Macaca mulatta: one gene and its partners. The protein of the gene in region 3 interacts with the protein of the main gene of each other region in a pairwise test. Links are inferred from orthologs where the notes say so. Each region holds a gene or a part of one and is shown on either strand. Other genes may lie near its edges.

The links.
Region 1: the proteins of STAT3 (region 3) and SRI interact in binary tests that used the Homo sapiens proteins (3 or more experiments, as listed by UniProt). The link is inferred for Macaca mulatta from reciprocal best matches to the Homo sapiens genes STAT3 and SRI.
Region 2: the proteins of STAT3 (region 3) and NFKBIZ interact in a two-hybrid assay, tested with the Homo sapiens proteins (2 studies listed by BioGRID and IntAct). The link is inferred for Macaca mulatta from reciprocal best matches to the Homo sapiens genes STAT3 and NFKBIZ.

Annotation. Positions count from the first base shown.
Region 1 is NC_133408.1:131,185,469-131,189,220, forward strand, and holds the start of SRI (sorcin), read left to right. Parts: upstream 1-1,044; 5' UTR 1,045-1,086; coding exon 1,087-1,137; intron 1,138-1,875; exon of another isoform or gene 1,876-1,946; intron 1,947-2,137; coding exon 2,138-2,221; intron 2,222-3,752. UniProt on the Homo sapiens protein: Calcium-binding protein that modulates excitation-contraction coupling in the heart. Contributes to calcium homeostasis in the heart sarcoplasmic reticulum. Modulates the activity of RYR2 calcium channels.
Region 2 is NC_133407.1:181,752,377-181,755,213, reverse strand, and holds the end of NFKBIZ (NF-kappa-B inhibitor zeta), read left to right. Parts: coding exon 1-63; intron 64-253; coding exon 254-317; intron 318-606; coding exon 607-776; intron 777-1,648; coding exon 1,649-1,759; intron 1,760-1,887; coding exon 1,888-2,157; 3' UTR 2,158-2,302; downstream 2,303-2,837. UniProt on the Homo sapiens protein: Involved in regulation of NF-kappa-B transcription factor complexes. Inhibits NF-kappa-B activity without affecting its nuclear translocation upon stimulation.
Region 3 is NC_133421.1:66,679,880-66,683,531, reverse strand, and holds part of STAT3 (signal transducer and activator of transcription 3), read left to right. Parts: exon of another isoform or gene 1-378; coding exon 379-460; exon of another isoform or gene 461-623; coding exon 624-745; exon of another isoform or gene 746-921; coding exon 922-1,073; exon of another isoform or gene 1,074-1,228; intron 1,229-1,964; exon of another isoform or gene 1,965-2,391; intron 2,392-3,123; exon of another isoform or gene 3,124-3,652. UniProt on the Homo sapiens protein: Signal transducer and transcription activator that mediates cellular responses to interleukins, KITLG/SCF, LEP and other growth factors. Once activated, recruits coactivators, such as NCOA1 or MED1, to the promoter region of the target gene.

The DNA of each region.
Region 1 (3,752 bases), on a different chromosome or scaffold from region 3:
ATCTTGCTTATTAATGCGTTTCTCACTATGTTAAAATTCAGGAAATCATTAAGTCTAGTCCTTAACAGTGAAGGGCAAGCAAACATTTTTCTGTGTCATTGAAATTACACAAAACAAAACAAAACAAAACAAAAAGCTCACGCCTGAATTGCTTCGGACTATTCAACTGGGAGATAGAAAAATATGTGAAGTAAAGAAGAATAACCTACATTGAAGTTCCTATCTCTTATCTTCCTGAATACTGAAAAAACACACTCTTACTTTGTTCTAAACTTTTCTTATATAAAAAGTAGCTGAATAATTTTAGGGAAATGGATTGTTTTGTCTGAATCATCCAGATAATTCAAACAATTCATTTTGCTAAGAACGATCTGGGTGAGGCTGTCCTGCCTGGAAAATGCCCCCTGTCCTACTCAGGACACGAGCCACGCCCAGCTTAAACAGGCAAGTAATTGACCCCTAGGAAGGAAATACGCCGTTGTCGTTGAATGAACTTTGCAATCAACCGCAAGCCAGACTCTCCCTTGCACACCGTTCGTCAAGTTAATTCTTCTTTTCCAAGGGAGCTTTCGTATTTCCATCGTTCAACGACTCCTTCACCCACTAGCACCTAAGACTTGCCCGAAGGAATTCAGCCCCTGCCTCGCGATGGTGCGCTCCGCTTATAGTAGCTCCGTCCTGTCCAATAAAGTTGTTTAAAATAAGAAATGTGCCAGATAATAGCCAAGTCCGACGGAAAAAAAAAAAAAAAAAAAGAATTCCTGGGGCGGTGTATCGATGTTGGAATGTGCCATTAGTTTCGGAGGGAGGAAAGTCCCTGGTGTGAATTGCCTCGCAGGTCGTAGGCCACCACTGGACCTTCGGTCGTGCACTGCGTTAGCACCGTAATGGCAAAGATAGGAAGAAGCGCGCAGGCAGTGGAGCCACGGCCGCGTGCACAGGCAGGAACTGAAGACAGCTGCGGAGCGCCTCCCCCACGCCCGTGTGGTGCGCTCTGGGGCGGCCCCCTCGCGGCAGGGCGGGGCGGGGCAGGCGGCTGGGAGGCTTGGTGCACAGAGCCAGGGAGGCGGCGGCGCAGTCTGCACCATGGCGTACCCAGGGCATCCTGGCGCCGGCGGCGGGTACTACCCAGGCGGGGTAAGTGCTGATTGCGCGGGATCGCTGCCCAGGCGGCTCCGGGGCGCTAAGAGGCCACCTTGGAGATGCTGCGGCCAGCGGGGTGAGGCGCTGCTGGGCAGCTGCCCGGGCTCCTTCCGCCCTCGGCTTCTGCCTGCGCTCGCGGCCTCGCCCTAGGCCCCTGCGGTTCGGCCTCTCCCCTGGTTTCCCCCGTCCCTTCTCCTGGATGGCTCTGCGGGCCCAAGGTGAAGGTGGATTGGGACCCCAGAAGCCCGCCCTGCGGCTTCTCGGATACGCGGCATGAAATCGTGTTAATTGGGTGTTGACTAACCCCCACTTCACCCCACCCCCGCCCTCTCGGTTGCCTCCCAAAGCAACAACAGTCATTTTATTCTAGAATGATACTTCGATATACCTTCCTCCCTCAAAAAAAAAAAAAAAAAAAAAAAAAAAGTGAGAAGGGGGACAGAAAAAAAAGGAAAACCTACTGAAGTAAAAGACCTGTAGGAAGGCAGCCTTGCCGGGCGTCTGGGATGCGCGTTGTCTTGGGAACTGTTTCCGAGACAGGCAGTGTTCCCTCGCCACCCACGAGATACAGCCCGGTCAGACACCTTACTCTTCCCTAGGCTACACCCGTCTCAGAATGTTACCAACTCCAGCCTTCCATCGTTCATAAAACGCTTTTAAAATACCATAAATGCTGTAACAACAAAAGGAGAATTCCAAGCCCTTTCATTGGCTTGCCTAGTTTGCACTCACCTCAGTAACCTTCAAGTTAATAGGGATTTTAAAAGTTGCTTTACATATGCAGACATCACTTCCACAGCAACTCTTTATGGTCCAAGTCGCCAGTTTTTAAATTACGGGGGTGTGAATGGAAGAGAGGGGTGGAGTGTTGGCAGAGTGTGCCTGGGGGTGGGGAGGTGAGCCTTGTGAAGGGCAGGCAGGCGGGCAGTTGTCTGGCCTTGCAGTGGTGAAAGAAGAAAACTTGAATGACGGGTTTGTGTTTCCTGTTTCACAGTACGGAGGGGCTCCCGGAGGACCTGCGTTTCCCGGACAAACTCAGGATCCGCTGTATGGTTACTTTGCTGCTGTAGCTGGACAGGTTAGCTTTTACCTTTAATATTAAAGGGCCGTTATTGTCCGCATTTGTGGTAGCTTTTGATATAGTGACACTGAAAAGCGAACTTCCTCTGGTACTGAGTCCCTTTGCTTCTGCAACAGAAAAAAAAGAAAAAAAGAAAGTTCTTTGTTTCTTATTTTAGTTATTTATTTTTGAATGTTCAGAATAAATTAGGACAAAGTGTTACTCGTATTTATGTGAGTTCAGTTCGAAACCAAACTTGTGGTTGAATTAAATGTTCCAGGGTGGTTTCCAGCGAAGAAATTCTAGATCTGGTAAATATAAACCCTTGTTTGTACAACTTAAAGACGTTTATTAGTAATTACATAGCCCGATTCTCATGGGCACTTCCTTTGGGTTGAACTTGATTGCTAATCATTCACCCACTTAGGAAATATGGTAAAAACCCACCAGGTTCTAAATAAGCAAGTTACTGTCCCCTTATTAGTATCAGGAAGTTAATCTTGTGAACAATGTAGTTTCTCTTTGACGCAGATGCTGTTACTAGGTTAGCCCCTCCCCCTCCGTGTCCTTATTAGGTGCTGTGGCCTGTTGACCCAGAGAAGCAGAAGGTCAGCTCCCCAAGACCTTTCACTTGTCTGCATTCTGCGTCGTATGACAGGAGCTGTCTTACATTGACAGGTGCTATCTTACATTGTGAGAGGACACTTCCCTAGCTCATGAGGTCACTGTGTACAGTAAATATACTGTCGGTATAACCCAGACATGTCCAGAGGGGATGTTTGTTCTTATGAATTCAACCTAGTCTTGTTTTGACCAAAAGCTAGAAATAGCAAAATTTTAATGTGAAAACTGTAGAATATTATGGGATAAAAAAACCGAAGACCACTTTTTAAGGTAGTACTCTAAGAAATACAGCTTAAGAAATTGAATGGAAAAATAGTCTAAAACTGGAAGACCTTCCCCTTAAGTGTCTACTTAATCTGTTAATGATCCGTATCTTTGAAACCACAAGACATGGCAAACCTCAAGACCAGCATTCTTAGATTGCCAGTGCCTCCAGCATGTAAGTGACCCCACCTGCTTAGCTTTCAGCAGCCCTGGCCTGTATTCAGCATACCCATTGTGTTTCAAATTGTTGCTCTTGCTCCTCATTTATAACCTATAATACCCAGTGACTTGAGGATTTAGGTATTTTATTTTAAAGTCCCTAAAAATCACATATATCTAGTTCTTTCCCAGTTCAGCCAGTGAACAGGCACTGGGAACCTAATGTGTATCTTCCAGATGTATTTGTGCTCTGAAAAAAAACATTCACTATGTCATAAGAAAAAGTGACCAAGAGGCCTCTCTCTGTTTGAACCAAGCCTTCTCTTTACTTATGTCTGGTGTGTAGCTTGCTCTGTCCACCCGCCTCAAACAAAAAGAAAAGAAAAGAAAAGAAGACAAGGAATTATGATTAAGCAACTTACATAAATTATTTTAAAATGTTTAGCTGTAGCAGTTTCCTAGCTCAGATTGACAGAAGAGTAGTTGCCAAGACAGACTCTTT
Region 2 (2,837 bases), on a different chromosome or scaffold from region 3:
GACTGCTGGGGAAGAACACCTCTGCATGTCTGTGCTGAGAAGGGCCACTGCCAGGTGCTTCAGGTAAGAGGCAGCAGACCAGGCTTCCATCATTGCAAGGCCAGAGAGATACAGTTGGATATTAGAAGTTGGATATAGGTTGCCTATTGCAATAATCTATTTTGAGTTAACTTACTCATTTCTTGGGGATTCTAATAGTTAGGTATATGTGCAGCTTGTGTTGCTAACAGATGTCTGTTTTTAAAATCTGCAGGCGATTCAGAAGGGAGCAGTGGGAAGTAATCAGTTTGTGGATCTTGAGGCAACTAACTATGATGGTAAGCAACTGAAACTTTATTAGATTGAGAGCCACTTAGAGAGGGGGACCCATAAGGTCTAAGGGTACTAAGTATCATGCTAAGAAGGAAGGTAATTAAAGCTAAAATATTCTGTAGATAAAATTAGCACTGAGACCCAACAAAGGGACTATATTCAGATTGCTTTACTAGTTCTTGTGAAGCCCATTTGTAGGTTAAGTTAGAGGCCATCCTCAACTTTTGTCGTTATAGAAGGACCAAAAGACCTGATGGGATGCTCGACCACTGCTTGATTATACTTTTCTTCTAGGCCTGACTCCCCTTCATTGTGCAGTCATAGCCCACAATGCTGTGGTCCATGAACTCCAGAGAAATCAACAGCCTCATTCACCTGAAGTTCAGGAGCTTTTACTGAAGAATAAGAGTCTGGTTGATACCATTAAGTGCCTAATTCAAATGGGAGCAGCGGTGGAAGCGAAGGTAAATTCAAAGAAAAGGTTTAAGATGGGGTAGGGGAGAAGCTGGTTATAGCAGAAGAGCAAAAGACCTTGCTTCCAAGTACAGATTCAGACTTCCTTTTTTTTTTTTTGAAATTAATGGTGTGAGTAGCAATGTATGGGGTGGTTAAGAAGCCCAGATTTTAACAGATCGTTTCATGTGTTTTTTTGATTTGCTTTGAATCTGTGGATTATTATCCAAAAGGTCATTTAGGTGTAAAATAAATTAGTCTTTGAAAGGAAAAGAAAATGCCTAAAATTGATATTGTCATTTTGGCTTCCGTTTTCCTACACTGAGAATAAAGGTAGTGCTTTTTGTAAGGGTTTCTTCATTGTTGTGGGATGTGGAATTCATCTTCTGTTTTTACGCTGGAAAATATTCTTTTAAAATTTGGTTTTATTCACTGAATATGTGGGGAAAATTGCCTAAGTCATAAACCGTTTGGACCCTTGAGGTTTACTGTCTAGTCAAAGAGGTGAGAGATACAGCTAAATATGACTCTGCAGGGAGGCTACCAAGTCCGGAAATGCAGGTGAATACATAATACATGGTTTACTGATATGTTACGACATAGGATTTAAAAATATCATTTATTTTTCTACATTTTATGGCCACTCTGTATAAAAAGATACATTGTGATAAGAGGCATACAGGCAAATTAATAGGAAATTTAAGGGAAATAAAAGATTCCCTTTAGCTTGGGATTAAGCAAGGCATTGTGGAGAAGGGAGCATTCAAAGTGAGTCTCTGAAGCCGAATCAGACATTCAAGAGACTGGGTGAAAAGTGTATTCCAAGGCATGGTATCTGGATTTTCTTTTTTTTTTTTTTTGTCTCCCTCTTGCCTTTGACAAGGATCGCAAAAGTGGCCGCACAGCCCTGCATTTGGCAGCTGAAGAAGCAAATCTGGAACTCATTCGCCTCTTTTTGGAGCTGCCCAGTTGCCTGTCTTTTGTGAATGCAAAGGTACTTTTAGAAAGCTTTAATAACCACACCAGAGTGGGAATGGCCTTCTGTATACCTTCTCAAAGTTTTTGAGCTCCTTTCATGAAATTTCCCCCTTCCTGATGTCTGGTATTTCGTTTTATCTTCAGGCTTACAATGGCAACACTGCCCTCCATGTTGCTGCCAGCCTGCAGTACCGGCTGACACAATTAGATGCCGTCCGTCTGTTGATGAGGAAGGGAGCCGACCCAAGTACTCGGAACTTGGAGAACGAACAGCCAGTGCATTTGGTTCCCGATGGCCCTGTGGGAGAACAGGTGAGAGGCACAGGAGGGAGAGGAAGTACTTTTTGGCACTCCAGTCTGAAACATAAAGGGAGATTAGGCTGTGCAGGGCAGAGGCCAGCTGTTGCTCTTTAGGTGGGCTCTATCAGTGTCTGTGTCTCACGGTAGCCATCATAGCATTTTGGTGTTCCTCTTGCTTTGGAAACAGAGCAATTAAGAAATCTGAGGGTTTATCCATAGACTCAAAATGGTTAGAGGTCAGGTAGTATTCTGTGACACAGACTTAGGGTTAGAGTAAGTCAGAATGGTTTAAGGTGCGGAAAGAGAAGGTACCAAGGTTCCTGCAGATACCAAGGAAAGAGAATCTTAGTCTTTTAAGGTATGAGCCTTCAAATATTGTGGATATTAAATGAGTTGTTATATGTGGAGTGCTGACAGTAGTCCCAGGTACAGAGTAAGAAGAGCTCAGTGAACATCAATAGTTAGAATTATTTCTGTCTACGAAGTGATACTGAACCAAAAATGCAAAAATTATGTAATTTCAAGCCTAGAAATACTTTACACTTTAAACAGAATTAATGCTTTATTCATCAAATATGGTTATATGTTATCATTGAGGATTGAATAGTTTCATGAGTAAACTTTTTAGATAATAAGAACTTATTCTTTTAAGAACTTAAAATGTTTTTGATAGAACTCTTTTCCTGGAGGGAATGAGGGGGATTGTGGCTGTGGGTAGGTCATTACATACTTTACTAATCACAAAATAAAATATGTGGAATGCCGTTTAGCTTTTTCTTTGATTCTGAGCTGTC
Region 3 (3,652 bases):
CTTGACCTCTCAGGCCCAAGCAGTTCTCTTACCTCATCCTCCCAAGTAACCAGGACCGCAGGCGTGCACCACCACGCCCAGCTAATTTAAAACAAAATTTTGTAGAGATGGGGGTCTCCCTGTGTTGCCCAGGCTGATCTCAAACTCCTGGGCTCAAGTGATCCTCCCAACTCAGTCTCTCAAAGTGCTAGGATTACAGGCGTGAGCCACTGCGCCTGGCCACCAGGGAGTCTTCTCTTGGGGATACTGCCTGCAAGTCCTCCATGTATCTTTTTTGAGGTTTTGGCTTCATTTGAATTCTCCTCCGATACGTTATTTTTTCTGTTCCCAAGGAAATCTTTTTTTACTTCTGTTTTTTTGTTTACTTATTTTAAACAGGATCTAGAACAGAAAATGAAAGTGGTAGAGAATCTCCAGGATGACTTTGATTTCAACTATAAAACCCTCAAGAGTCAAGGAGGCAAGTGAATATTAGAGACGTTAAAATCTCTAGAAAGTGAGTTTGTGTTGTTGAGTTGAAAGAGTCATTTGTCTTAACTCTTAGATCTTAAGGCGGTCGGGGCGCAAGGGAGTTACGGGTGCTCAAAGGAGCCTGGTCATTAAGGACAGGATTATTCCCTCAGGTCAAGGAGTTTCTCCTTCCTCCGCAGACATGCAAGATCTGAATGGAAACAACCAGTCAGTGACCAGGCAGAAGATGCAGCAGCTGGAACAGATGCTCACTGCGCTGGACCAGATGCGGAGAGTAAGGGCATCGGTCGGACCACTTCCCCTGTGTGTCTCGCTCACTTGCGGGATTTCAGCATCTTGTGGCAGAACTTGCTTGGTTTCTAAGAAGTTCCTGCTCTGGAGTTGACTAAAGAATGTGGTTAGAGACTGTCTGAGGAAATGTTTTCTGACTTTGTTTTGGTTTCCAACCAGAGCATCGTGAGTGAGCTGGCGGGGCTTTTGTCAGCGATGGAGTACGTGCAGAAAACTCTCACAGACGAGGAGCTGGCTGACTGGAAGAGGCGGCAACAGATTGCCTGCATTGGAGGTCCGCCCAACATCTGCCTAGATCGGCTAGAAAACTGGTAAAGGATGAAAGAAGCTTTTCCTTTCTTTCTCGAAAGCTAGATTGAATTCTGATCTTAACTGCAGGCCCACAGAATTGGTACTCTATCTCCAACGTGGGGACTTTTCCATATTCAAATTTAACCCAATAATTAAAGTTTTTACTTTATTTTGGCTGGGCGGAGGCCAAGATGGGCGGATCACTTGAGGTCAGGTGTTGGAGACCAGCCTGGCTAACATGGTGAAAACCCATTTCTGCTAAAAACATAAAAATTAGCCGGGCATGGTGGTGCATGCCTGTAGTCCCAGCTACTCTGGGCGGCTGAGGCAGGAGAATCACTTGAACCTGGGATATGGAGGTTGCAGTGAGCCGAGATCGCACTACCGGATGCCAACCAGCCTGGGTGACACAGTGAGACTCCATCTCAAAAAAATAAAAATAAAATAAAGTTTTTACTTTATTTGGAGAAACTTTGTTTAAAAAAATGTATTTATATTATTATATTTTAAGTATATTTTACTTGATTCAATTAAGGCTTTTGGTTTAACTGTATTTAACAGATAAACAAAACTTTTAATTTTAGTTATTTTAGTAATCTAAAACAACGCATGCCCTTTTTAAGGGGAAAAATCCAAATACAGAAAATTAATCAAGTGAAGAAAAAAAATTTTTTTTTTTTTTTTGAGATGGAGTCTCGCTCTGTTGCCCAGGCTGGAGTGCAGTGGCGCGATCTCCCCTCACTGTAAGCTCCGCCTCCCAGGTTCACGCCATTCTCCTGCCTCAGCCTACCAAGTAGCTGGGACTACAGGCGCCCGCCACTATGCCCGGCTAATTTTTGTATTTTTAGTAGAGACAGGGTTTCACCGTGTTGGCCAGGATAGTCTCAATCTCCTGATCCGCCCGTCTTGGCCTCCCAAAGTGCTGGGATTACAGGCGTGAACCACCGCACCTGGCCGAAGAAAAGATTTTTAAATTAAATCATCAGCAGTACTGGTAGTTACAATTTTAGTTGACGCGCAGTCTAGACATCTGTCATTATGTATATACACATAAAGACAGAAATTTATACAGTTTATATTAGCAGGATCATTTTTTTTTCTTTTTTTGGAGTCAGGGTCTCACTGTGTTACCCAGTCTAGAGTACAGTGATGCAATCATGGCTCACTAGAGCCTTGACCTCCTGGGCTCAAGCAATCTTCCCACCTTTGCCTTCTGAGTAGCTGGGACTACAGGTGTGCACCACCACACCTGGCTAATTCTTAAATTTTTTATAGAGACAGGGTCTTACTTTGTTGCCTGGACTGGTCTCAAACTCCTGGGCTCAAGGGATCATCCCACTTTGGCCTCTCAGAAGCGCTGGAATTATAGATGTGAGCTGCTGTGCCCAGCCCAGGATCTTTATATGCTTTTCTGTAATCTGCACTTTTACCTTCATCCAGTAAATCTTACTGCACACCCTTCATGTGCAAGGCCCTATAGTGAGCATGTTGCACCAGCTTGCCCTAGGAGACACTTGAGATACAGAGCCTGAACTGGAAATTTAGGGCAACTCTACATGAGAATGCGTGTCTATTCATATCCTCACTAACCCCGAGTGTTGTTAATTTACTGAAAGCAGTTTTACATGCTTCCTGACCAGGGAACGAAGAAGCTTAAGTTCTGGGAATGGGAGGATAGAAGTGCCAGAAAAGAGTTAGGGAGTTCAGAAATCCCTGCAGCAGTCCTTCTCCCTCTCCTTTCACTTTCTGTCTTTCTAGTCTTTTGGTTTATTACACTAGTGATAAACCATCAAAGAATGATGGAATGATGCTAAACTTCTCTATTCTTTTTTTTTTTTTTTTTTGAGACTAGAGTCTCACTTTGTCACCCAGGTTAGAGTGCAGTGACACGATCATGGCTTGCTGCAACCTTCTCCTCCCAGGTTCAAGCAATCTTAGCCACAACCTTCCAAGTAGCCAGGATTACAGGCCCATGCCACCATGCCTGGCTATTTTTTTGTGTTTTAGTACAGATGGGGTTTCACCATGTTGGCCAGGCTGGTCTCAAACTCCTGGTCTCAAGCGATCCACCTGCCTCGGCCTCTCAAATTTCTGGGATTACAGGTGTGACCCACTGTGCCTGGCCTAATATTCTCTATTCCTGGAGATAGATTTAATGAGCTTTTTCTTACTCTCTATTCACTTATTCCTTGTGCATGTTATCAATGTCTTGAAACATAATGTTGTGTCCTTTGATCAGTTGAAGGCTGACATTGAAAAGGTTTATGGGGATTGGGTGTCGTGGCTCACGCCTATAAATCCCAGTGCTTTGGGAGGCAGAATCAGGAGGATTGCTTGAACCCAGGAGTTTGAGACCAGCCTGGGCAACAAAGTGAGGTCCCATTCCTACAAAAATTTAAAAAACTAGACATGTGCCATTACACTTCAGCCTGGGTGACAAGAGTGAGACTCCATCTCAAAAAACTAAACAGGCATGGTGGCACACACCTGTAGTTCTAGCTACTCAGGAAGCCGAGGTAGGAGGATCACTCATGTCCAGGAGTTGGAGGAGGCAGTGAGCTATGATCATGCCATTACACTGCACTGGGCCACAGAGTGG